7 linked regions of the Cricetulus griseus genome follow. The main gene of each other region encodes a partner of the protein of the gene in region 5 in a complex. Links are inferred from orthologs where the notes say so. Each region holds a gene or a part of one and is shown on either strand. Other genes may lie near its edges. The genes, in order: Epc1, Ing3, Morf4l2, Meaf6, Brd8, Ruvbl1 and Anp32e.

Region 1 (3,927 bases), on a different chromosome or scaffold from region 5:
ATTAATCCATGAAGTTGGATTATGATAACTAGATTCTATGTCTTAACAGTCTCAAGACTGACACTAAATTAAGAGTATATGCCCTTTTCTAAACTGGACAGTCAATTCAGGTCCCAGGTTACAGGACCTGGCAGGAAGCATAGGCCACATGCCATGAACTTTGCTTTAACTCTTCTTTTTCCAAGTACAAAAGATTACCTCCGAATTACATCATGCTTGGTACTTTTCAATACTACACAACATACTACCTTCAATACCATGACTCACATAGCCTGTCACTAGCAGCTGGACACACACAGTTTGTTTACGAAGGATTTTAAGTTCTATCAAACAATCTAGGCTTCACTTATATACAGTTTTGATTGGCTGTGACTTGAAAAATTCTAAACAGATGATGGAAAAAGGTACCCTCAAGGGGGAAAAAGGAAATCCCCATATCTAACAAAAGTTGGACCTTCACCTGCTAAAACCCAGTGACAGTCATTGCACAATACCAAGACTGTTTCAGTGACCGAAATTATCTGTAAATGTTAATATGCATGGACAGACCCTTAAGTTGAACTCAGCTCTTGTTTTAGATTGTAGTTCTTGGGACTGTCCAAAAGACTCAGATAAGCAAGACCTAACTCCATTTCTAAAGTGCACTGTTGTGGGTCTTGCTCTTGCTTAATGATTTCCACCTTAGATTCACAAGAGCTACAAGTTAATCCCTCAAGCAGGGTATCACCAGCACCCCAACTTGAAAGCAATATCTGTAAAACTTACATAGAGAAACAAAAATAAAACAAAAAGACAAGATTCTGCAGTCACAAGTACTTTAATTTTTTAAAAAAACAAATCACTTATTTTAAAAATAAACAAATGGCACCATTCTACTCTAAGTTGATACAGGTCAAAATAAAGAGCACTGCGCTCGCAAATAAGCTGCTGAGAAGTCAGCACACTACCCACACATCTCATCTACTACATACACTTAGCACTCAGCTGTGAAGGTAGATTCAAGACCCTCCGCCCCAAAGTAACATTCGACTGTCAAAACTATTTTACTTTAAAAGGTTAAACAACCCAAGCAGTTTGAAGAGTTTTATTTTGAAAAACATTACAGAGAATAGAAAATTCTTACAGTACCACAGAAGTATTACAGTACAATTTTCCACAACAAAATTGGAGCACACAAGTCCATGGGAATCCTTGACTTCCTTGAACTGTCAACACAAAGCACCCTGTTTAAGTGGCTGTACCTGGAAACCAACGTATGCAATTCCTCAGAATTAGAATTTAAAATGTTAACGATTTAGGGGAAATGAGAGGAAGATTCTCTTATCTCTGTGTCGGACCCAACTTCCACAGCAAGGTAAAGGCCACGGCTAAAGTAAATCATTAGCTGTATAAACAATTTAACTACTGCAGCCCACCCAGTTAGGACATCTTAATGTTAGGATGTCTGTGAAGAATTCACTCAACTTTAGCTCGGCTATTAATAAAAAAAAGGACCTTCTTTCAAAATTTATAGTTTTAAGAGTTATTGAACCGAGTCTTCTCCATCGTTACTCTGAAAGCAGGCAAACCCAAATTTAACTTACAAGTAACTAAAAAGTTGCAGGCTGCAGAGGACAGATACAATATTGTAAACAAATCTGCAACATTGTCTCAAAGATCAAAAAGTTGGGGGAGACAGTGGGTTCTTTTATTTATTTTAAATCCGCCGGGTTAACAAGCACAGCCGGTGCAAGCAAGCATATACCGGGAGTTTTATCTTCTCTAAAAGTAAAGGCGTCTGGGCAGACAAGGGGCACCCTCGGCATTTTCCTGCAGGAATCGGGAGAGAAATCAGCCTGAGCCCTGAAGTCAACATGACAGGCCCCTCGGAGGCTCCACGTGGGGGACTGCACCGAGCCGCGGGGAAGCGCGCCCGAAGCCTGCGCCGGCAGCCGCTGCCAGGCCGCGGCGGGCCCGGAGCGCCACCCAGCGGCCCTACGAGGGACCTGCAGGCGCGGCCCACTCCCGGCTCGCTGCACCCCCACCGCCGCCCAGCCCGCTTCCCTCTCCGGATGCACAAGGCCCAACCCAAGAACTGAGACCACAAAATGGCTGCCGGCGGCTTCGTCACGTGACCCCTTTGTGCCTTTCGGGCCCCCGAACTCCGCGGGACCCGGGTACCAGTGGCCGGGGGCGGCGGAAGGCCTTCGAGGGGGCCCCGCTAGGCCTCAGCGGCCCGGGACCGAGCACCGGGGAGGCGGGGGACCGGCCCGGCCGGCGACCGAGAGTCGGCGGCGGAGAGAAGATGGCGGCCATTTTGTGTGGGTCTGCTGCTCCGCCGCCGCCGCCGCGGGCAGCGGAGGGCGCGGGCCTGGCGGCGGGTCGGACAGGGGAGTTAACACGTACCGACTCCTCTTCCTTCTCCATTCCGGTGGGCATCTGCGGCACGGCCCGGTTTATCGAGGCGTATTCGTGCAGGTCGGGCAGATCCTCACAGCGGAAGACCGGCAGCGGCTTCGAGGCGTCCAGCGCCCGCGCCCGAAACGACAGTTTACTCATCTCAGGCGCAGCAGATACCTCTCCGCTCTGGGGAAACGGCCCCGGCCAGCGGGATCATGGAGAACCGGGGTTTCGGTCTCCACTCGCCTGCCGCTGCCGGGGACTTGGGGGCGGAGCGCAAAGCCCGCCGTCCGGGCCCTGACACCAGCCGGGAGGGTGGGAGGCTGTGCCGCTCCGCGCCTCGCTCACTCGCTCTCTTCAATACGCCATGGCCAACATGGCGGACATTAAAACTCCACTGTGCGCTCTTCAGCCAACCCCAGCCATTCCCCACACTGCATCGCGCAGCGGCGCGGGCACGCGCGGGGGGAGCGCGGGCTCGAGCGGGCGCCGGCGCGGCGCGGCACGGAGCGCGCGTCCCGCCAACCCCCGGCCCGCCGGCCGCGGCCGCCGGCCTCGTCTCGTCTCGTCTCGCCTCACCCGCTCCGCCCGGCGGCCTCGCGTCCGCCCGGCGCGGTCCTCGGACGGGCGAAGGTGCGACGAGCTCTCGGCGCCCGCGCGCGGGGCCCTGGAAAGGCCGCCGCCAAGAGCGGCCGGGATGCTCGGGCCTGCGTCCCGGGCGCGGGCACCTGTCACCGCGGGGCTGGCCGCGCAGGGCGAGCGCAACGCAGCGCAGCGCAGCGCAGCGCAGTGCGGGAGGTGCAGGACTTAGAAATAAACCTGCACGCGAAATCACAGGCCAACTCTTTAAGTCAAACAAAACTGAGTTACAATTCTGAACAGGTTCTGTCATCAAATCGCCGGTCAAGTTCCCACCCGGGGCTCGCTATAAATACCACTTATATATATATTCAGCTCCAAAGCAGTTTTTATCCAATCCTACCCCTTTTAGTTTAATTGACGCTCGCAGGATAATTGCGGCAAATTGTAACAATCTTTGGTGAAACACAGTTTCCAAATTCCAGAGCCCGTGTCGCTAGCTAGCTGGTGCATTTCGGCAGTATTAGAAGTAAACGTTACTTCAATGCAGCCGTAAGTAGGTTCACACTCTTGCCATCTGTTCTCTGGGAAACTTTATAAAATCGAATCAAAGACCTGTATTGGTTCGGCGGCCACACCAGAAAAGGGACATTAAAAGTTAATTTATTAAAAAAATAGATGTTGATAAGACTTTGAATATTTGGTTTGTATTATACATGAAAATTAGTACCCAGGTATCTCTTTTCAGTGAGATATTTTATAAACTGGGAGGGCTGTTAGGGTGGATTTTGAAAGATTGGCGGCAAAATTTCAAATGTTCATCACGGTTTTAAAAACCTGTTTTAAGTCTGCTTTTCTCCCTGAGGGCTACATAGTAAAAATAATCACTATTCTTAAATACAGGGTTTGATATGAACTGTTAATTAGTTTAGCGTACACTGGCAAACTATCTCTCAGGTTTGTTTCTAT
Region 2 (4,005 bases), on a different chromosome or scaffold from region 5:
GACCAAACGCTTTGATTTGAGGAAATAAAAGAAGTCTGACAACATGTACTGTTTCAGTTTGCTAGTGGCTTATACACACTCTGCTTCAATTCTACAAGCAGTAATGCCTTAATTACCTTAGTTTTAAAAAGCTGTACTGACTTTTGCTATTTCAAAACATCTTCCAACAATCAAGGTAGAGTCAACCCACAGACAAGGATGTATGCCACAGCCCTGGAGCAGCACAGCACTGAATCAGCTAATGGCATTAAGTCAGCTGGTTATGGCAACCATAGTTGCTTACTGAGAGTACTACTGGAGAGTGTCCACACTTCTTTTAATAAAAATAGTGATAATATATTCAACATTTGCATTACAGACCAAGCACCCCACCATGTTATATGAAGGTATGAAATGTGTGATCATTTGTTTACATAAGATGCCATTTAATCACTCAATACAGAAGCTATTTATTCTGTGCAAGGGCTTTCCAAAGCCCATGCAAAAATAATGACCTTAGTGGATGACTGCTAAAAAAGACAAATAAATAAAAGGGATTTTTTCTGTTATGGAAATGGAGAAAAACTTCCTCACTATATTCATCATTTAAAGTTCTTCAGTGCATAATACCTTTATATAAAAAAAAAAACGATTCTGAGACATTCTAGTTACTCTTAATTTTCTTAAGAAAAAAATCTTACTTTCAGTTCATTTGCCAATATAGACATGCTGCTACTTTTGTTAATACATTATCACTTTTTGCTTGTTTGTTTTGTTTTTCAAGACAGGATTTTCCAGTGTAGTTTTGGAGCCTGTCTGGGAACTAGCTCATGTAGACCAGGCTGGTCTGAACTCTTCAACTGCCTCTGCCTCCTGAGTGTTGGGATGAAAGGTGTGTACCACCGCCTGCCTAATGCATAATCACTTTTAACTTCAGAAAACACCAAGTTTATAAGAAAAACTAAACTTGAAAAACCCTATAATATGTATAGACTAAATCCAAACTATCATAGAATTTTAAAAAATTGAACTATTACAAAATGTTTGAAATAATCCCTTATTCTATACCTATTTGTAACAGGTATTATACATCCTAATTATATGTATTATTTTAAATCAGCAGATTGTCTTTTACAAAACAAAAAACAAAAACAAAAAAAGTCCCAAGGCAGCAAAGAGCCAAGGTGGATAAGAAACTGGAGAGGCCCTAAAGTGAATCCAAATCTATCTGCTATCAAGCTCTGATCAATCCCTTTGGAATGTGCTTTGCTAAATGTTTACTACTGCAACTGTACTGAGTCAAAAAGGAAAGAATCACACATACACCTGTCACATGCTTATGACGGACTACGGGGCTATGGGCCCCCAAAAGAGACGACCCAGAGACTTAGATGAGAAAGTACAAAGTACATTCCGGAAGAAAAGTTACATAAGTGTGTGTGTGTGTGTGGTGGGGGGTCGTTGGGGGTGGTGGTGGTGAGGGACTGACAATGAAAAGAACAACTCCTAGCAAACGAAGGCTGCCTTTGAGCCACCTCCAATATGGCTTTTCAAAATAGCAAGGTTAATTTGGAAATAAGTACAATACAAAAAACTACCAAGCACTGATGGACAGGAAAAAAAAAAAAAAAATCAAAGCTGAGCCAGTACGGTGGGTGGGTAATGCCTGTAAATCCCAGCACTAGGCAGGCAGAAGCAGGTAGAGCAGGAGACTAGGGCCAGACTCTGATGCACAGTGAGTGTGAGACCGCCCCGAGCTGTGTTTACAAAACAAGAAGAAACGGGTAGAAAAGCCGACCCAAGGTCCAAACGTTTCAATCAAGGGCAGGTCCATCATGTTTCCAATCATGACTATTTCTCTGGCTCGTTGTGGCTGAGAGAATAACCCTGTTCGTAGTTGACGGCTGTCGGCGTCTCTGGCAATAGGCAACTTGTCAAAGTTCGGCCTGCCGAGCCCACTCGGGTCCCCGGGGGAGCCGCGCGCAATCTGCGATCCTAAGCGTTTTACTCTTGAGAGATCGGGGAATAGGATGAACTTTTTCTTTCTCTCTTTTTCCTAAGTCTGAATGCAGAACTCGGAGTTTGCAGGCTCAGGAGCAAACCTTGTGGGAACCACGAGTTTCCCCCGCGGTGCGATGTCGTCATCGCCGTGCCGTGTCACACACACACACACACACACACACACACACACGCACGCACGCACACACACACACACACACACACACACACACACACAAACACCGGCCCCCGCGTGTCAGCGGGGTGCTGTGCCGGCCAGCCTCCTCCTGTGGAGGCGGCAGCCCGAGGAAAGCGGCGCGGAGAAGCCCGCCCGCCCGCCCCGGGGACGCGCCACTTACTCTGCACCTGCAGGTCCATCTCGCGCATCTCCGTGAAGCGGTCCCGAAGGTCCATCGGCAGCTGCTCAATCACTGTCAAAGGCACAGTCCGTCAGAGGGCGGGGCCAACGGCGAAGCTACGCGCTGGCGTCACGCGTGCGTGCGTGCGTGCGTGGGGGGGGCGGCTCACAACGAGGCTGCCAGTTACCGTGAGAAAGAAACATCCCCCGCTCCCCCTCCCTCCCGCCATCCCGCCCGCCCGGCCACTCGCGCTCCCGCCCGCCGCCGATCCCGCCAGCCGCGTCGCCGGCGCCGCGCACTCACTTTCCAAATAGTCCTCTAGGTACAACATCGCGGCCCTGACTGCTGCGGGGACGAACGGGTCCAGGGGTTTATTTGTGTCACTCCTTGTCGCCGGAGTTTTGTCCCTTCCAATATGGCGCCTCCGCTAGCAGCACCCGCTCGACTCCGGCAAAGGGAAAAAAAAAAAAAAAACGGAAAAAAAAAAAAAAAAAAAAAAGGCTCCACTTTGGCGCCTGACGGCGCCTGCCTCACTGCCGCCCGGCGTTACTATTGGCTGCCTGGAGCGCTGACGTCAGCAGGCCGGTGCGGATCCCCGTGGTGTTCTGGGAAATGTAGTCTTTTTTTCCCGAGCGGGGGGCCATCCATGCGGGCAGCTCCAGGCGTCGCAACTACAGAAACCACACGGCTGTGCGAAACGGGTACGCCAGAATCCGAAATGCGGTGCCTCTGTTTATTTGTGGGTTTCTTGCAAGGGGAATGACGGGAATTGTAGGCGCCTGCCTGACAGAACTAGGAACAACTTTTCACCTGTTCTGTGCTGTGATTCCAAGCCCGCCGTTTGTGAGTCATGGATTTCTAACCGTGCTAGGCAAATAGCAAAGGTTCCAAACGCTAGAATAATCGGCCAAGTTCGGAAAACTCGAATTGTTTAGAACACAACTCCCTGCTGGAATTTATCTTCGTTATCCACTCCTGAGATATAAACGGGACAGCTGACTGTTGTTGATCCTGTAACTTTAAGATATTTATACCAAGACTGGATCGAATGAGCATTTCCCAAATTGAAAAATGCCCAAAAATTGTCTGCAATAGCCAGTATGTTTTGCTGCGTGTCTCGAATTCGTTGTAATATTCTAATGCACCTGCAAATAAATAAATAAATAAATAAATAAATAAATAACGGCCAACCATAAATTATGGAGATTTAATCCAATTCTGGGATATACCAGCAATGATTCAAATTTACGTTGGGTAAATATCCGGGTTAAGGTTTGTAAGTCCTGGACTGCGTCTTTTTCTACCCCTAACAAGTGTTCACTAGTAGTATAACGAGTGTATCACCGCTCTGTTTCTGTCTTAAAATCCCTTTCATAAAAATTCGTGCACTAAATACATGCTTTGTGTTTTGAGGAAATGATCCCTTCTTACACTATCTATTACTTACCTGTAATTCCGAAACTGGGGGAGTTGAGACAGGAGAGTCAACAGTTCGAGGGGAGCTTTGGCAACACGGGTAGTTGGAGGCTAGCCTAGACGGTGGGAGACCCTATTTCACACCAAAGAAAAATTAAAAAAAAAAAACAAAATTTTATAAAAACCAGTGTGACATTTTTAAGATTTATTCACTACTCTGAATATATTTATATGTCCAATTTAAAAATTTTCA
Region 3 (4,045 bases), on a different chromosome or scaffold from region 5:
AATAACAATTTCTAATATCGTTCGGAGACAGACTTCACATTGAATACCTTACACGCACTATTACTGTGCACATCTGAGTCCACGTCTCTGAGATGGGTACTATTATCACCGTTTTACAAACATGGAAACCGAGACACAGAAAGGAGCCTTGCCCAAGTTGGGCGTTGGCGAGTCGGGATACGAATCCCGCTTTGCCTGAATGTGAAGCTACTAGCTAATCCTGTCTAGAGACACGAAGAAAAGAGGAAATCATCGACCCTTCCTCCCCACCCCCACCCCGAAACCTGAAACGAGAATCCAGTTCTTTCCAGCAGCCGACGTGTGATCACTGCTGCTCCTCCAACCGCCATAGTAAAGCCAGGTTTCTCTGGCAACTGATATCCATAGGCAGACACGTCACCCAGGGGGTGGGCTTAGCGTTTCAGCCAATCATAGTCGTCTTGTCTCAGTTTTAGAATGTTCCATAACCAAATGATTGGATCAAGGCTCGCACGTCAGCAGTGACACTTCGCCGCAGTAAAGGCGGGTGCTAGCAACCTGCTTCTTCATGGTTAGGGCCGAAATCAAACCAATTACCGTCCTTCTTCAGTGCGGATTTCGGCCAATCACAATCGCCCTTTTAGGCTCTGAGCCCGCCCTCCAAATGCGCTACAGCCGTTGGGTCATAAGTCTATAGGGCAGCGTGTTCACGTGGCCTATTTTCACGACCCAGAGTTCCCCTGACCGTGGGTTTTTTTTACCCCCACCTCCTTTCCCTCGCTCTCTTCTTCTCCTGCAGGGAGGCATTATGGGTTTGTGGGTCCCTTCCCCTCCCCCGCCCCCGCACCACTGGGAAAGGAAGTGTCTACGTGGCTTGCGGAAATAGGATAGGCGGAAATGAGCTAAGGTTCCCGCGAGTGGGAAGAGCGAGGTCAAACCTCGGGCCACGCCCCCGAGCTTGTTGCGCAACTCTCGGAACAGGAGAAAAAAAAGGAATAACGAAGGTTTTGATGTGTGTGTGTGAGGGTGGTGAGTGCCACGGGCGGATGGCGTGAGCACCGGGGTGTATGTTCGCGGGCAGGCTCGCGTGGCCGCCGAGTGTGGTTGTGGGTGCACACCAGCCCTCGTGGCGCCGGAGGTGATGGGTGTGCGCAGGCGTGCACTCCTTGCTGTGGCGGGAGGGGCCCTGACCGCTCTTTATATTGGTGGATTGCTGTTTTTTTTTTTTTTAATGTTTGCAAACTGCTTTAATGGAAAGGAAAATAATTAAGGAAAATTACTAGTAACAGAAGTAAAGGGCTTTTGTTAGAAAAGGCCCGCCGATTTAATTTTTTTACGTGTGTGTGTGTGTGTGTGTGTGTGTGTGTGTGTGTGTCTGTTGTTTGAGACCCGGTCTCGCTAATATAATCTTGGATGGCCTGGAACTCATGGAGATCCGCCTTTCTCTTTTCTTCTTCCCGAGTACTGGGATTAAAGGCATGCGCCACTCCACTCAGATTTAATTTTAGATTATATAGATGCTCTTTATTCTCACATTTTACTCCACCAAAATAAACTCGCATGCTTAAGATTCAAAACTATATTAGTAAAGGGGCACTTCTTTAAAGTTTCCAAGTATACTCCCCTCCTGTCTATCACTGAGACCTTCCCCTTTGCCCTGCACCAAACTTACTGCATAATTGGCAGAAATAATACGAACATACAGAATTAAATTCACCTATGATAGAGACCCCTCCAAGTTTTTCTGGGCTCTAACCTTCACCTACCTTTTGGCCTAGTCTCCAAGCATAGCGATCCTCAGGCAAATATGCATTCGGTCAATTTTCCAGAAAGTTCCCTGGGTGAGGTTTATACCTCTTGAATCTGCCACTAGATGTCACCAAATCCCAGCAGAGCACTTGTTGGGAGATTTATTTTTTTTGCTCCACCCACGTCTTAATTGATGAACTCAATAATCTCTGATATATATATATATCTTAAAATCCCAAAGAACAATACAATCAAGTTTTGTAAAGTAACAACGCTAGTCAGGGAATTATATACCCAAAGATTTTTGTTAATTTCTTTCCTTAAAAAGAAAAGCCATCTGTTCTTCCAGATTTTCTTTCCCCTTGTACTATTTTTTTTACTCAGAATTAATAAATGAGCCTAAAGGCTGGTGCTAAAATCCTCTGTGGGACTTGGTGGCACATCTACAATATCAGCACTCAGCAGGCAGAAGGACCCCAAGTTGAAGACCAGTTTAGATTATTTGTTGAGATCCTGTCTCTACATTAAAAAAAAACTAATGAAAGACTATTCTTTTCACTTTTTGCCCACTTTATTTTCAAATACTTACAGTTCCTCCAAATGCTAATTGCAGGCGACTATAGTCAGTCTGTAAAGTTAACTCTGAGGTAAAGTTAGACCTCAGTATTAAAAAATATCGTCCTTTCCCCTTGAAATTTTTAGCAGATATGTGTGTTTGCACCCTAATTTTTTGTGGTGTTTCTGTTTTGTGAGCAAGAAGTTAAGTATGTGTAGTTGGTATAAAAAAGTGATATTTCATTATGCGGAGGGTCATCACACAAAGTTCACACTGTTAAATTTCTAACTACAGTCCTAAACCTATCTCCCCAAGGTTGCTCGCCTGTTCAACGTATCATTGAAGATCAGTTGAGAGTCTCTAACAAAAGTCTCTAATTCTAGGGTCAGGATCCCCGGGGAGACTCACCAGCCGCAGGGTAGATCAAGGTGTCGTTTCTCCAGGTGCACAGAGGACGAACAAGCTCCTGGTCTCTGCTTATATAGTGGCCAGAGCGTCATAGGATTCTAGGACTGTGTCTGGTTATCTTGAGTGAGTGATGTCACTGGGTTCTGGTTATCAGATGCAGCCTCGGGTGTAGAGCATTTCCTGACTAAGCTGTTTTTACATGTCTAAAAGGCATTTTTTTTTTTACTTTGCTCGTGCTCATTCCATTTTGCATAACTTGTATCTTTAGAGTCAGATAGTAAATAGTGAAACATATTTCATACTTACTTGCCTTGTGTTTCAGGGCAAATGATGATGTAGCCCTGATTTTTTTTTATTTCCGTGTATAAGCACATGTGTGCAGGAGTGCTTGCCTGTTCTTGTTGAGGCTAAAGGTCAGCTTCATTTTAGGTCTCTTCCTCTATTTCTGTCCACCTTATATTTTGAGGCAGCGTCACTCAGTATACTTGGAGTATTCTATATGGGCTACAAGATCCTGGCTTGTCATCAAGCTCCTAGGATCTGCCTATCCCTAGCAATAATCCCCCTTAAAACACTGGGGTTACAGATACGAGTCCCATGTTCAGCTTTTATATAGTTTCTAAGGAATGGAACTTAGGTCCTCATGGTTGAACAGCAGATGCTTTGCCCCCTGAGACATCTTCCCAGCCAGACCCTCAATTTTTTAAATATTTTCTGTATTTTAGATGTTACATTAAATATTTTTTCTTTTCTTTTTTTTTGGGGGGGTGGTGTTTCGAAACAGGGTTTCTCTGTGTAGCTTTGGAGCCTATCCTGGCACTCACTATGTAGACCAGGCTGGTCTTGAACTCAGAGATCCACCTGCCTCTGCCTCCCCAGGTGCTGGGATTAAAGGCATGTGCCAACACCACTGGCTTTTTGAAAAATAACACCTATTGAGCAACTCCTGGGTATTAAGGGTCTTTTTCCCCATTTGCCTTTTTGTTGTTGTTGTTTTTTGAGACAGGGTTTCTCTGTGTAGCTTTGGAGCCTGTCCTGGCACTCGCTCTGTAGACCAGGGTGGCCCTGAACTCACAGAGATCCGCCTGCCTCTGCTGGGATTAAAGGTGTGAGCCACCAACACCTGGCCTTTTTTTTCTTAACAAAATTGTACACCATAATCAACTGACAAATATCTGTTCTAGTTATCAACGATATCTATTTGTACACATATGGGTGAAGTTTTTTTTAGGATTTTAATTTCATTGCTTTTATATATGTGTAGGTGTATATATCTGCGTGTGGGTACGTGACATGAGTTCAGAGCTCAGAGGCATCAGATCCCCTGGAGCTGGAATCACAGACTGTTCTGAG
Region 4 (3,500 bases), about 170 Mb from region 5:
AGCAATGATTTACAAAAACAAATCTTGGGTATGATGTAATAGTAAAAACCTCTAAGAGCAGCTAGTATTTACTTTTTTCTCTTTAAAGACAGTGGGACTTAACTGTTGTTCAGATATGTAAAATATAAGAATTTAGAAAACTGGCGATTTTCATTTGACTAGCACAGTTGAAGCTTTGTGTTCCATCCCCCCTCCTGGGGGGGGGGGGTAAATGGTAAGTTCGACTACTTCCTGCTTCTCCTCAAATGGGGGCATGTGGCAAGTCCTTGGACATCTTGTCACCGTGGCCTGACTTACAGGGGCCACCGCACAGTGGAGAAGGAAGCGCTGCTCTGGGTGCCAGCTCACCAGCGTGTATGAATAATGTGCTCCACCCCTGCCCTTGAGTGTACAAAGGTAGCAAAGAGGACTGCAACAGCCTTAGCCCACTGAGACACCACTTAGGAAGCTGGGGTCAGCTTCCTAAGAAACAAAGCAACGTGTGCCACAAGCCTTTCTGGGGGCCGATGAGCACACCAGGCCCTGGGAGGCCACCACTGAGGCAGGAATTCTGGAGCTAAAAACCCAGTCCACCTTCTAAGCCAGACTTGCCCCTTAGGAGATCAGTCCCCAAGAACTGTCTTTCTAAGCGCTAGTGTGTTTCTGGAAGGGATTCATTCCTGGGGCCAGGAAAAGGGAGGGATAAGAAAGAACTGTTATTTCCATGGAGATGTTCTAGAACCCTGCAAGGACAGTTAAAGGGAACACTTCTCTAGCGCCTTTCACCAGTCAAGAGCTGCCCACATCGCTAGTGCAAATGAGGTGTTACACGAAACCAGCAGGATCTAGAGAGGACACTGGTCAGTGGTGCAGAGTCCCAGGGACTTTCAAGAATGGTCTCCCTGCTCTAGACACTCTGAAATAGGAAAAGAATCCCCAAAATGACAAGAAACTAAATGTAATAAAAACAACACAGAAGAAAATATTGAATTATCTTGCCAATTTGTGTGTATGTAGTATATATGTGTGTGCATATGGAGGTCAGAGGTCAATGCTGGGTGTTTCTCCATGTAGTCTTTGAGAAAGGGTCCCATCACTTCTATTAGACTGGCTGGCCAGCAAGCCCCCAGGATATCAATGTCCCCAATGCTGGGTTTACAGACACATACAATGCACTGAGTGCTTTGATGTGGGTGCTGGGATTAGAACTCAGGTCCTCAAGCCTGCAGAGCAAGCACTTTACAAACTGAGCCATCTTCCCAGCCCACAAAATACTCTTTAAAAAGAGTATGGGTCTCTATTGTTTGTGATAAGGTAGCCCCAAGCCTACCGCAATGCTCCAACAACCTACATCCTTACCAAGATGGTAGGGGACAATTCTTTGCTGTTTCTTACTATACTTTGAGATTAGCACAGTGGTTTTTGGTTTGCAGAAAACAGTAAAGCGGTGGTCCTTCAGCACTATTTATTTGGAGGAAACACTATTTCTGCAATTTAAAAAACAAGAAAAACTTAAAAACTAAAGAGGTTGAAACCAGTTAAATTTAATTCTATATTAGCCACAGTGCCACGTCTATGAAGTTCACAGTGGAACACCTTAGGTGCAGGAAGGGACACCCCGAAGTTTTCTAATGCAATGCAATTCCTTAGCCCTGCACACCCCTTTCACCCCCAAAGTGTTCAGGCTTCCAAGACCAGGATGAGGGAGAGCCCCTTGCCCTGCAGACTCATCACCCTCTGAGCTAAGGCCCAGCATCAGCATACAAACCCAGGCAGAGTGACCACTAAACCCCCTGAGACACCTGACCTCTCTGTGCACTGGTGTCATCCCCATCTCATTTCCCACTGCAAAAGTAGCAGTGCTCAGGTGGTTCCTACGAAGGAATGCTCGCATTTAGGAGCTTTAAGTGTTTCCCCGTATCTGAAGGCAGCATACTCAGAGAACTACAAAATAGAAAAGTCATAACAATCAAAACCAAACCCATATTTAAAAAGTCAAGGAAGGCATGGCAACTCAGCTCTCATAGGAGCAGACGGGGCCCAGGACTCAAAGAACCTCCATCCCAGGTCACAGCTTCCCAATAACCAGAGTCTTTCTAGTTCCACTTTCCTCTTAGCAAGGACCCAATGCTCAGGAGTCACAGTCCATCGTGGTGGCTCCCATTGATCCTGCGGGGCCTCTCTATTGCCACCCACTCCTCCCTCAGAGAACACCAGCCCACTGGACTAGCACCAGAAGATTTCTGCCACCCGAAGCATGAGGGCTCTGCCACTGTCCCAGGCACTTTCATTCCAACCAAGTCCCTCCCAGTAGTCATGAGAACTCTGGGACTGGGTGGGACCTTGCCACTAACCTGTGTCGGTTTTTATTCTTCCTTTTTTTGTGGCTGCTGTGGTGACTCCCTGAGGAGGTAGAGGAGGCAGCCTTCTGGGGCTTCACTCCCTGAACGGAACCGTCCAGGTCCTCGGGGTCCTCCTGGGCAGGCTCGTTCTCCTGATTGTGGAAGTCAGGAGAAGTATCGCTTTCTGTCCCACTTCCTGGTTCCCCTAGAGGAAAGAAAATAGGTTCCAAAGCCTGATCAGTATTCCCCAAATTCTTGTAAGCAGCAAATGTCTGCTTGTGAGCCCACAGGCCATGTGACAGAGAAGATACAAGCTGACAGGGGATGGACATTCAAAGTATCAAAGCTAGGGAGTTCCTGGAAACCATGCAATCTGCAACAGTGTAACCGGACGACAGTGCTGAAGACAAACCAGATGGCAACATAAGCACCACCCTACTACATAAGGGCTATGTAACAAAGAGTACACACAAGAGAGGAAGACTTACATCCAGAGGATAAGGGTTGATGACCCTGGCAAAACTGACAAACCAGCAGAGAATCCTGTTTCTCTGCAAAGCGTTATGGGGTGTGGGGAGAGCTAGAGAAATTATTCCAAGGTTAAAAGCATGTATTGCTCTTCAGAAGACCTGAGACTAATTCCCAGAATTCACTTTGAGGCTCACCGCCTAAAACTTCAGCTCTAGGATAGCCGGCACCTCTCCTTGGGTGCCCACAGCACTCACATGAACATACCTCATACAGACATATGAATATAATTAAAAATAATAAATAAATAACAGGGCTGGAGAGATGGCTCTGCGGTTAAGAGCACTGACAGCTCTTCCAGAGGACCTGGGTTCAATTCCCAGTATCCACATGACAGCTCATAACTGTCTGTATCTCCAATTCCAGGGAACCTGACATCTTCACACCAATGCACATAAAATAAAACTTAAAAATAAATAAATCAATAGATAGTTAGTAGAGAAAAGGTACCCACTTGGGGAATCCTGTGGAAAAGGGGGATGAAGGATTGTAGGAGCCAGAGGGTTCAAGGACAGACACCACAAGGAAACCCACAGAATCAACTAACTAGGGCTTCCAGAAGCTCCCAGAGACTGGGCCAACAATGGGAGGCTGCATGGGTCTGACCTAGGCCCTCTGCATATATGTTATGGTTGTGTAGCCTGGTATTCT
Region 5 (3,500 bases):
TATGTGGAGGTCACAGCACAACTTGCAGGAGTCAGTTCTTTCCTCCCACCGTATGAGTTTCAGTGACCAAAGTCAGGTAGTCAGGCATGGTAGCAGGCACCTGAACCCACTGAGACATCACACAAGCCCCACCAATTGAGACAAGGTCTCCCTCTGAAGCCTAGGCTGGCCTCAAACAGTCAGTTATCCCCTTGCCTCAGTTTCCCAAGTGCTGGGATTACTGGTATGTGCCACCATGTTGTTTTCCAGTGATTTCCTTCCCCCAGCACTGGAGATTGCCAAGAACACTAGCTGAGAGCTGCACCACTATACTATCAAAACACATTCCCAGCCCTAAACTTCCCAACTCTCAGAGATAAACCTTTACATAAATAAATAAATTTAACAATAAGTTTTTTTGTGTGTGCATGGTTTTGTTTTGTTTTTTTTTTTTTTTTTTAAATCACTTAGCCCAATGTGGTACATGCACCTGTAATCCAAGCTACGGGGGAAGTTGAAATTGGAGGATTTTGAGCTCTAGCCTTGTCAAAATACAGAGACTCCACCTCAAAAAACAAAAGAATATTGTACAAGAGTTCTACCTATAGAAATACTGATAGCATTTGCTGTCAGTCCTGGCACAAAACATTCCTGACAATATTCTGCCACCTTTGTCCATACTCTAATCCCTGTGGAATTATATATGAACTAGATCCTGAAAACCTTAACGTTTCCCAAACATTCAAGAAAACCCCAATAGCCCTTATTGCACACTTAATTCACACAATTATGAATTCAGTCTTGGTTACTCACCTCTTCTCAGTTGCAGCAGACAGCTTATAAGACCACTTCTCAGCTCTAACAATCTTATCCCCATATATGATTAGGTATGGTGAAGAAAACACATTTCAAACACAAAGGACACACACCAAAGGCCAAAGTTTTCCTTCTATTTGTTATATACACACACGTCACAGGTTTATTTTTTTAAAAAGTCTGTACACTTCACAAGATAATACAAATAAGCTACAATCTTCTAGCTACACATTAGGGCACTAACACAGCCCATGATTTTTGCCCTAAAACGGGCAACTGTGCTACTCCAACTCTCTGAAAAGAGATTTTTCTCAACTCATGTCATTTGACCCAGGAACCTTCTCTTCTGGGCCCATACTGCTTCTCAGCCTTTTGACTAAGATCAAGTGTAGACCTGAGCCCACAAGCCCAAGCTATATCTTGTTTATTTCTATTTCAGGTTCAGCTCAAAGAGGGAACTCTGAGGCTTCACTTCTTCATTTTCATATCTGCTTCAATGGCACAGCGGCGTCCCCTGGTTCCCCCATCCTAAACAACATCAAAGAAAGGAAAGAAACATGAGTGAGTTGGTTACCTGTTAAGAGACAACATACAATAGGAATGCTGGGAATTTGATTTCTTGGGGGAAAGAATCTACAGAGAATACCAAAGGTATGAAGTGGAAGGGACTTTGTTTTCCCACAGAGTAGCTAAAAGAACACCTGACATTTTGTGAGTGTAACTATTAAGACTAGCATTTTTTTCATGCCAATACAAAGGGTCTTTGAAATTCATCTGAGGTCCCACAGAATGACTACCAGTCATCCCACCCAGGTCCACACTGTGTGTAAAGAACAGGAAGAGAAAGTGAAAGGTGGGAGAGGCAGAAAGGGTAGTGAAGCTCTTGGCTAACATACCTGTCCAGTTGCTGGTCCCTATAAGAAAGGCCTTTCCTGCAGACTGACCCTGGCACTAGTTCCCTAGCACCTCCTGACAGTTGTTTTCCATGACATCAGGACAATCAGGCTTCTTTCCATCTGCTGCTCTCTCCCTGTAGCCCAGCTCCTTCCTCTTGTGCAAAACTTTGCTGTCTTCCATAGATAAAAGATCTTATTAACCGGCCTTGCAATAGCCAGCCACTTGAATGAGGATCCAGAGTCACTGTTGCAGGCCAATAAGAAAGAATAGAGATCACAGTGTTCTCTTTGTGGTACAGGTCTACAGGCAAGATGAACTAGTGAACAGTTCTGCTGGGCCGGACCATTTCTGTATTTCTAATATGCAAGGATTAAAAAATTTTTAGAACATAAGTTGCCAACAGCCAACAGTAAGAATAGAAATAACACCTTGCATTTGTGTAACGTTTTAATAGTTTTTTTCAAGTTAATTTTATAACTTATTTTATCCTCACAACATCCCTGTGAGGTAGGCTGGACAGGTACCTCAATCTTACTCTTTCTTTTGTCTTCTTTTTTTTTTTTTTTAAAGACTTATTTTCATTTAATGTGTATGAATGTTTTGCCTGTATGTGTATACTTGCACCACAAGTGTGCAGTGCCTGCAGAGGCTGGAAAAGGGCTTTGGGTTCCTTGAAACTGGAATTACAGACAGTTGTGAGCCACCATGTGGTTGCTGGAAACCCAACCCAGATCCTCTCCAAGAGCATCAAGTGTTCTTAACTTCTGTGCCTCTCTCTAGTACTCCCTCCTGCTTTTTTTTTTTTTTTTTTTTTTGAGACAGGGTCTTACTCCACAGCCTAGGCATGCAGTGATCCTGCGGGCAATCCTCCTGGCCCTCAACTCATTATTACTTCTATCACATAGAGGAGAAAATTAAGGTTAGCTAATGATCTTAAGACCATGTAGTTTTCAGCATGTTTTGTCCCTTACTTCACTGCTCTACCATGAACAGAATCAGTCATTTAATTTATGGAGCAAAAGAATAAAAGCCTTTTGGCTAGATCTATTATGTTTATCTATAATCTCACCAGCTATTATTGCATCCAGTAGTCACTGCTACTGAGATCTTTAAAAAGTCTTTAAAAACATTACCACTCCTGCGTGTGAGGTCTGTGTAGGAGCACACGTGCCATGCTGCACATGTGGAGTTCAGAGGGCAACTCTGTGGAGTCAGCTCTCTCCTTCCACTCTCATTGGGGTCTGTGGGTCAAACTCAGGTCACTCCCATGGCAAGTACCTTTACCAGCTTAATTTTTAGTGAGGGTTTATCTGTGGAGTCTCTCAATTTAGTTAGGAGGAAGTGGAAAGGTGTGTGTTAAATATCTACCAATACTGCTAAAAAGCCAAGCAGCAGGTGCTGCTCTGAGCTATCTTCCACTCATAAGAACTGGTAAAAGGTGGAAGCAAGAAATGAGGAGCAGGTGCATCCTAGGTCTTTACCCCAAGAACACTTCATATTTCAGTGCAGTGATCTTACAGCAGTTCCCCCAGCCCCCTCCCTCTGACACACACACATACACACACATGCAAAGAGACCAGAATGCAGAAGAAAAGAATTTCTTATTCAATGGATAAAAAGAATTTCAAGACACTGCCACAGTCTGCATGTTGGATTTCCCTCTGCCACCCAGGCCCAGCAGGAGTTGAGAATTTTTCTGGCAACATCACCCCTTGCAGCCATTCAATACTTACAAAGAGAGAGAGAAGGAAGGCAGGAGAGCCCATGGGGACACTGTCCTGTTAGAGGACAAACAAATACTGATCAGG
Region 6 (3,500 bases), on a different chromosome or scaffold from region 5:
ACTTTCCCCTTATTTTCCTCAAGGAAACCGTCAGGGTAGCCTTACAGGCAGGTCAAATTTAAGTTGCAGGCCTTTTAGTATAAGGTACACTCAAGAATATGCCGTGTGTGTGTGTGTGTGTGTGTGTGTGTGTGTGTGTCTGTCTGTCTGTCTGTCTGTCTGTCTGTCTGTCTTTCTTCCTCTCAAATGTTTTATACTGGTTAATTTCCCAAGTGAATTGGCTGAAGTTGTGATTACTGAAAATGTGCTGCCTCCTACTAGGAAACCTCAGGAGTACAGAATGAAGCCTGAGCATTGCGTTCAACAGAGAGATCTGCCGAGGCAAGCTCCTGGGATGAAGAACCCTGTTAGGAAAAAGAGAAACAGCTCTTTGAAGAAGTGACATTTTTATGCTCTCTATAAAACAGTGACCAAGAAACAACCTCACAGAATCACAGAAGCAGAAAATTCAGAGTGGAGTAAAGAAAGAGATTACACAGTTGATTTGGCAGCTTAGATGAGAAACTGGGCCCAGAGAGCCCAAGTGACTTCCTGGGATTGTACAGCAAGCTGCAAGACAGATACATAATGCTGAGATCAGAGCCAGCCCTGCCATGCACCCTGGATGGGCTAAAGCAGGCTGCCTGTCTTCTATGAGCAGCTGCTTCTATGGGAGCTTTGTTGTGTGTACACACATGAACTGGCAGTATGTGAAGCGTCTGTTGAAGCTGTTAGCTCTAGGTCAAACACACACTCAAGCAGGGTGTGTGACGTAAACCAGCCACTGTGGCAATAACTACTGCAGAGCTATGACAGGCACGAATATCCACCTCTCATTGTGGATCTAAAACTACAAGTTTCGCCATACCACTTGCCTGAAATGGAAGAAGCAAAGCTAAAAGTTAAAACAAGAGGGAAACAAAGCTAAAGATTCCCTTTGACTTTAAAGTCTATGCTTTGATCCCAAGCATCCCAGCTTGTGTCCTAAAGGATGATAGGATTATCCTCTATGGTCAGAGACAAAGTCCCACTCAGTACACCGCAGGCCTCGAGCTTCAGCCCATGGAAGCCTATCCGGAGCTGCTGTCAGGGTTCTGCAGCCCACTGAGCTGTCTGCCTGCATCTCAGACAGATCCCTCGAGGTGCTGCTATCTGTGTGCATCAGAGGGCTAGGGCCTTGGATATGAAGGATCGATCATATGGGATATGTGAAATATGGCATGGCAGAGGCAGGCTCCTCACTTATCTACCGGTTCATTCTAATGTACATGTGTGGTTTCCTGGGAGGAAGAGAGCACAGCTACAGCAGCTGAGTTTTCAAGGGCCAGGTCCTGCACCATCATTTAACACCTGTGCAGCCCCACAGTCACGATGCACAGAACCCAGGCAGAGGTCACAGCATCCCCCAGAGCCACACAGCACTGGGAGGTTAAGCCCCACAGACTCACCTTCAGCTGTTTGGTTCCTTTGGCAGTTTTGAGCCCTATGATCACATGGCTGATAGTTTTGCCATAACCACCCATGGGGTTCTCTGTCTCACACGGAGTAAGCTCTGTCACCTCCCCTTCATAAACTTCCTTGGTCTCCTTTATCCGTAGCCCTGGAAGAGATGGCAAATGGCCATGAGAGATCTCTCAGATGCTACCTTTTTCTCACACACCCATACCCCAAAACTCTTAGTCCCAAGCATTCATGACAAATCAACTTTAATAACAGAAGTGAAAGGATGTCACGGTGTACAGAAAAGCAGTAGAGAAAAGCAGTGGGTTTCAGGGACCCAACTCAGGTTTTCAAGCTTGGCAGCAAGCTCCTTTCCCTGCTGGGTCATCTTGCCTGTTTTTTATTCATGAGATTTTAATCCATATACATTTCGATACGTGTCTCTCAAAAACAAGTACTTAAAAAATAATCTCAAGTGCCAGAGAGATGGCTCAGCAGTTAAGATGGCTCAGCAAATACAGGGTGGCTCACAACCATCTGTAATAAGATCTGGCGCCCTCTTCTGGCGAGCAGGCATACATGCAGACAGAAACTATATACATAATAAATAATTAAAAAAAAAAAAAAAAAAGAATTAACCATGAAGACCAGAGTCCAAATCCCAGCATTCATTTCAGGTGGCTCACAATCATTGGTCAGATGCCCTCTTCTGGCTTCCCTGGGGACTTGAGTGCGTGTGCACATGTGCGCGCCTGCACACACATGCACTTTAAGTCACAATACCATTGTTATAAAAATGACCAGTAACCCCTCAATATTGTCAGGTACCCAGATCTCACATTCCTCTGTCTAGGAAGTGCCATGTGTTGACATTCATTGCCTGCACCAGGGTATAGATGAGCTTTCTGTAAGAGATGGATAGGTTGAAACACATCTTAAATTCCTCTAAGGTTTTCTTTGGGCAAACACAAGTTAGATGGCAACTAGGCTCTACCTAATAGCTGTCAGGGGTGTTGACTATGGGATGGCTGTAGCACTGTGGTGTGGAGAAGACACAGGCCTAGGTCTGTCAGAGGTAGGGAAAGTGCGGGCCTGGCTTCCTGGGGCTGGCTTCATGTGTGCGCAGTGGAGCCGAGCACTAGCCCTGCAAGTGTGACAGAGTCAAGTGGAGTGTGGCTCAGAGAGATAAGATGTGCTTCTCTGCAGGGCAGGAGAGCTACAGAGTTGATGAAGAGGTCAAACTTTAAGAGCACAAGGCAGGGTCAAGGGTCGTCTACAATTGCTACAGGATCCCTTGCTTAGGAATGGGTGTCATAGATAGTGGGTTATTCTGTTGTTTTTAGGGGAATGAGAGACCGTTCTTATAGTCACTGATTGGTGAATAGAATCCCATGGATTCAGATGGTTAACAGCACAAAACAGATTTCTCTCCTTGGAAGTGCAGATCTGAGGGACTGTTGGGAATGATAGCTATCTAGTTCTGGGCTTGAATATAGAAAAACCCTTTAAAAACTGAGTTCAGCGGTGGGTAGGATAGCTCAGTGGGTTTTGTTTGTTTGTTTTTGGTTTTGTTTTTTTGAGACAGGGTTTCTCTGTATTGCTTTGGAGCCTGTCCTGGAACTCGCTCTATAGGCCAGGCTGGCCTCAAACTCACAGAGATCCACCTGCCTCTGCCTCCTGAGTGCTGGGACTAAAAGCGTGCGCCACCACTGCCCGGCCCAAATAAATGTTTAAAAAAATTTAAGTTGAAATCAGGGACCAGGGAGATGGCTTAATCATGTGCTCTTGCAGACGACAGGAGTTTAGTTCCCTGCACTTAGGCAGGACGGCTCACAACTGCCTGTAACCCCTGTAACCTCTCTCTCTTGGTCTGTGCAGGCACCTGCACTCATTCATACACACATTTAAAATAAAACAAAAATAAAGCCTTAAGGGTTAAGCAATCAGATCTCTCTTCTACACTCTACAGCACCTCCAGAAAAGCAGTACACACGAATACACGCACGCAGGCTCGCACGCGAATGCAAGCACACACACAAGCATACACACATACACACACACACACACACACACACACACAC
Region 7 (3,500 bases), on a different chromosome or scaffold from region 5:
TTTTTTTTTAAAGATTTTTATTTATTTATTACGTATACAGTCTTGTGCCTGCAGGCCAGCAGAGGGCACCAGATCTCATTCAAGGTGGTTGTGAGCCACCATGTGGTTGCCGGGAACTGAACTCAGGACCTCTGGAAGAGCAGTCAGTCAGTGCTCTTAACCGCTGAGCCATCTCTCCAGCCCGGTTTTTTCTTTTTGAGACGTAACTCCTGCTATTCTGGAACTCACTAGCTAGCCTTGAGATCTATCTCCTGTGCCTCTGGGTGCTGGGATTAAAGTTGTGCCCAGCTATTTGCTCATCTTTAAAATGTTTTTTAAAGATGGAGATGAAGATGAGGAGGATGAGGAAGAAGATGAAGCTGGGCCACCTGAAGGATATGACGAGGAGGAGGATGAGGAGGAGGAGGAGGATGAGGACGAAGCCGGTTCAGAAGTGGGAGAGGGAGAAGAGGAGGTGGGCCTTTCATACTTAATGAAAGAAGAAATTCAGGTGAATGGAAACTTGATATTTGTACACAAGGCTGAGTACTGTAAAGTGAGTTGTGCGTTATTTCCTAACTTGTGGGTAAGCATCTGTCCGTCTTCTCTTCCAGCTTCCTACTTACTGGACGCTCTATAGTGTATCCAGACAGCCATGAACACTTGGTGGCTTTTTTAGTTTTTAGTTCAAGGACAGTTTTATTGAAAAAACAAAACAAGAAACTCCCAGGGTAGGCAAGCTCTAAGTCCCAGCAGCTCCCTGGAGGAGAATGGAGGGGAGAAGAGAAAAAAAACCAAAGCTGGCATTGAGGTCAGACACACTTTGGACAAGCAGTCACGTGGCAGGGAAGGGGGCTTCAGAGAAGGAGTATGGAGACCCCAGTTATCAGAAAAAGTATTGGTTTTGGCCAGCATCCAAAGAGAGAAAGAAAAAGGCAAAGTTGCCTCTTTCTGACTTGGGTGGGCTTCAGATGGGCAGACTCAGCCAGATGTCAAGGTGGCTCCATTAGAACTGTCATTGCTTGTTGCTTTTTATCTCAGATAATTGATTCTGCCCCCAGTGCCATGGGATGGTGAAAACATTTTATGAATCTGAGTCTATAAAGTACCTAGTTCCTTGTTGGCACATTATAGACACTGCAGAGTCCTGGAATAATGTGTTCCCTCCAATTATCTCTTCTTGCTTTATACTTCTGCATCTCCCAGTAGCTTTCCTCCTCCTTTTTTTTTTTTCCAAGAAAGGGTTTCTGTGTGTAGCCCGCCGTCATGGAACAAGCTGTGTAGCCCAGGCTGGATCTCAATGACAGCTTAGAGCTATCCTCTACAGTGCGCCTTTATAGTATGCCGATGATAAGACCAATACTTGCCTTCTTGATAGATGCCACAAAGCATGCATCATTATCTGTAGTTTTTCTTAGGTAGTGATGGTTAGGTAGATAATATCTGATGAATGGTTCTTATTTTCCTGATACTATTTTTAAATTTGAAATGAATTACAATTTGTTATTATACAATGCTCTCCCTGCATGTATCCCTGCAGGCCAGAAGAGGGCACCAGATCTCATTACAGATGGTTGTGAGTCACCCTGTGGTTTCTGGGAATTGAACTCAGGACCTCTGAAAGAGCAGCCAGTGCTCTTAACCTCTGAGCCATCTCTCCAGCCCTAAAAATTGCACTTTGAAGTGTATGAATGTGTGGGGATGGACTTATTTTACTCTGTACCCCAGGCTGGCCTTAGACTCATACACTGCATGCTGCCATTGAATTTGTGGCGGTCCTCTGACTTCTGCCTGCTGAGTGCTGGGATCACACAGACATTCACCACTCCTGTTTTAAAAGTTACTTTCAACCAACTGTGGGATAACTTACATTTAGGTATATTATTCTACTGAATGTTTGGGAATATTAACTCAAAATGACATGGCCAAGCATTAATCAGAAATCTCTGAAATATATATAGCATTAAGTTTGTGTGGGGCCAGGAAGCATTTTCATTCTAGATAGGATAGTTTGGGTGTTCAAAAATGAAGTCTTAGCTTAGCTAGGTATGGGGTAGGTCATCACCATAACCCCAGCAGAGGGTGAGGCAAGGAGTTTAATGATAGCATAGGCTACCTAGTATGCTCTAGGATAGCCTAGGCTACAGAGGAACCTTGTCTCAGAACAAACAAACCAATAAACCCAAAAGTTCTTGTTTTTAGGAGCTAAGTGCCAGGTAAGCATCAGACTTCTGGTAATCAAAAATAAATAAGAAGGAAATGGCATATTTGATTATGCATTTTATTTTCCTTAAAAGTTATTTATTTTTATTATGTATGTGTGGGTATTTTGCCTACATGCCTGTCTGTGTACCGCCTGTGTGAATGGTGACTACGAGGCCCAAAGAGGGCATAGTATCCCTTGGAGCTGGAATTACAGCTATTTGTGAACCAAGTGCTGGAAGCAGTACCTAGGTCCTCTTCACTATTAATCGGTGAGCTATCTCTACAGGTGGTTATTTTTCCCTTTTCAAGATGGGGTCTTATTGTGTAGCTCAGGCTGTCTTTGAACTCATGGTCCTCCTGCCTAAGCTTCATAAGTGCTGGGATTACAGGCTTGTGCCATCACACCTGGTTTCTTGCTTATTTATTTATTTATTTATTTTCCAGACAGGGTTTCTCTGTAGCTATGGAACCAGTCCTGGAACTCACTTTGTAGACCAGGCGGGCCTCAAACTCACAGAGATCCTCCTGCCTCTGCCTCCCGAATGCTGGGATTAAAGGCGTGCGGCACCACCGCACTGATAAAGATTTATTTATGATGTGTACAGTGTTCTGTCTGCATGTATGCCTGCAGGCCAGAAGAGGGCACCAGGTCTCATTACTGGTGGTTGTGAGCCACCATATGGTTGCTGGTTATTGAACAGCTAGTGCTCTTAACCTTTGAGCCATTTCTCCTCCAGCCCATCTTATTTTTAAGAGAAAGAGAGAGAGAGGGAGGGAGAGAGAGAGAGAGAGAGAGAGAGAGAGAGAGAGAGAGAGAGAGAGAGAGAGAGAGTGCACATGTTGTATGCATGCATGCATGCATGTTTCTGTTTTTGTGAGTGTTCATGTTTGTGAGTATGGGTCGTGACATGCATGGGGAGATCAGAGGACAGCTTTAGATATCAGCAGGAATCAGGACTACAGGTGTACATTGCTGAACCCAGCTTTATGTGGGTTCTGGGGAATCCAATCTCTGTATGATCACATTCTGAGTCATCTGCATGAAATAAGACACAAAGTTGAGTAGTAGTGGTGCACCACTGGAGAGATGGCTCAGCCATTAAAGGCTAGGCTCATAACCAAAAATTTTTCTTACTTGTGTATATCTTTCTTTCCTTCTTACTCTGCGGTGGTGGCTGGCCCTGACGTTTTCTTATTCTCTTGCTGCTGCTTTTTTTCTCTTTCAGTTTATACTCCCTGCCTGCCAGTCCTGCCTATCCTCCTTTCTGCATCTCTGTTGGCTGTTCAGCTCTTTATTAGACCGTCAGGTGTTTTAG

What was found.
Region 1: Brd8 (region 5) and Epc1 share a complex: the UniProt entries of both Homo sapiens proteins name them as parts of the nuA4-related complex. The link is inferred for Cricetulus griseus from reciprocal best matches to the Homo sapiens genes BRD8 and EPC1.
Region 2: Brd8 (region 5) and Ing3 share a complex: the UniProt entries of both Homo sapiens proteins name them as parts of the SWR1-like complex. The link is inferred for Cricetulus griseus from reciprocal best matches to the Homo sapiens genes BRD8 and ING3.
Region 3: Brd8 (region 5) and Morf4l2 share a complex: the UniProt entries of both Homo sapiens proteins name them as parts of the nuA4 histone acetyltransferase complex. The link is inferred for Cricetulus griseus from reciprocal best matches to the Homo sapiens genes BRD8 and MORF4L2.
Region 4: Brd8 (region 5) and Meaf6 share a complex: the UniProt entries of both Homo sapiens proteins name them as parts of the nuA4 histone acetyltransferase complex. The link is inferred for Cricetulus griseus from reciprocal best matches to the Homo sapiens genes BRD8 and MEAF6.
Region 6: Brd8 (region 5) and Ruvbl1 share a complex: the UniProt entries of both Homo sapiens proteins name them as parts of the nuA4-related complex. The link is inferred for Cricetulus griseus from reciprocal best matches to the Homo sapiens genes BRD8 and RUVBL1.
Region 7: Brd8 (region 5) and Anp32e share a complex: the UniProt entries of both Homo sapiens proteins name them as parts of the SWR1-like complex. The link is inferred for Cricetulus griseus from reciprocal best matches to the Homo sapiens genes BRD8 and ANP32E.

What each region holds. Positions count from the first base shown.
Region 1 is NC_048596.1:208,059,950-208,063,876, reverse strand, and holds the start of Epc1 (enhancer of polycomb homolog 1), read right to left. Parts: upstream 2,801-3,927; 5' UTR 2,539-2,800; coding exon 2,386-2,538; intron 1-2,385. UniProt on the Homo sapiens protein: Component of the NuA4 histone acetyltransferase (HAT) complex, a multiprotein complex involved in transcriptional activation of select genes principally by acetylation of nucleosomal histones H4 and H2A.
Region 2 is NW_023276806.1:205,262,019-205,266,023, forward strand, and holds the start of Ing3 (inhibitor of growth protein 3), read right to left. Parts: upstream 2,801-4,005; 5' UTR 2,668-2,800; coding exon 2,640-2,667; intron 2,409-2,639; coding exon 2,337-2,408; intron 1-2,336. UniProt on the Homo sapiens protein: Component of the NuA4 histone acetyltransferase (HAT) complex which is involved in transcriptional activation of select genes principally by acetylation of nucleosomal histones H4 and H2A.
Region 3 is NC_048604.1:43,656,890-43,660,934, reverse strand, and holds the start of Morf4l2 (mortality factor 4-like protein 2), read right to left. Parts: upstream 2,801-4,045; 5' UTR 2,693-2,800; exon of another isoform or gene 2,668-2,692; intron 1,856-2,667; exon of another isoform or gene 1,746-1,855; intron 1,009-1,745; exon of another isoform or gene 713-1,008; intron 439-712; exon of another isoform or gene 285-438; intron 1-284. UniProt on the Homo sapiens protein: Component of the NuA4 histone acetyltransferase complex which is involved in transcriptional activation of select genes principally by acetylation of nucleosomal histone H4 and H2A.
Region 4 is NC_048595.1:27,952,502-27,956,001, forward strand, and holds part of Meaf6 (chromatin modification-related protein MEAF6), read right to left. Parts: intron 2,527-3,500; coding exon 2,334-2,526; intron 1,924-2,333; exon of another isoform or gene 1,787-1,923; intron 1,467-1,786; exon of another isoform or gene 1,339-1,466; intron 1-1,338.
Region 5 is NC_048595.1:202,876,478-202,879,977, reverse strand, and holds the end of Brd8 (bromodomain-containing protein 8), read right to left. Parts: intron 3,471-3,500; coding exon 3,426-3,470; intron 2,049-3,425; exon of another isoform or gene 1,692-2,048; intron 1,324-1,691; coding exon 1,264-1,323; 3' UTR 422-1,263; downstream 1-421. UniProt on the Homo sapiens protein: May act as a coactivator during transcriptional activation by hormone-activated nuclear receptors (NR). Isoform 2 stimulates transcriptional activation by AR/DHTR, ESR1/NR3A1, RXRA/NR2B1 and THRB/ERBA2.
Region 6 is NC_048601.1:54,816,484-54,819,983, forward strand, and holds part of Ruvbl1 (ruvB-like 1), read right to left. Parts: intron 1,580-3,500; coding exon 1,428-1,579; intron 1-1,427. UniProt on the Homo sapiens protein: Possesses single-stranded DNA-stimulated ATPase and ATP-dependent DNA helicase (3' to 5') activity; hexamerization is thought to be critical for ATP hydrolysis and adjacent subunits in the ring-like structure contribute to the ATPase activity.
Region 7 is NW_023276806.1:60,578,861-60,582,360, reverse strand, and holds part of Anp32e (acidic leucine-rich nuclear phosphoprotein 32 family member E), read left to right. Parts: intron 1-320; coding exon 321-490; intron 491-3,500. UniProt on the Homo sapiens protein: Histone chaperone that specifically mediates the genome-wide removal of histone H2A.Z/H2AZ1 from the nucleosome: removes H2A.Z/H2AZ1 from its normal sites of deposition, especially from enhancer and insulator regions.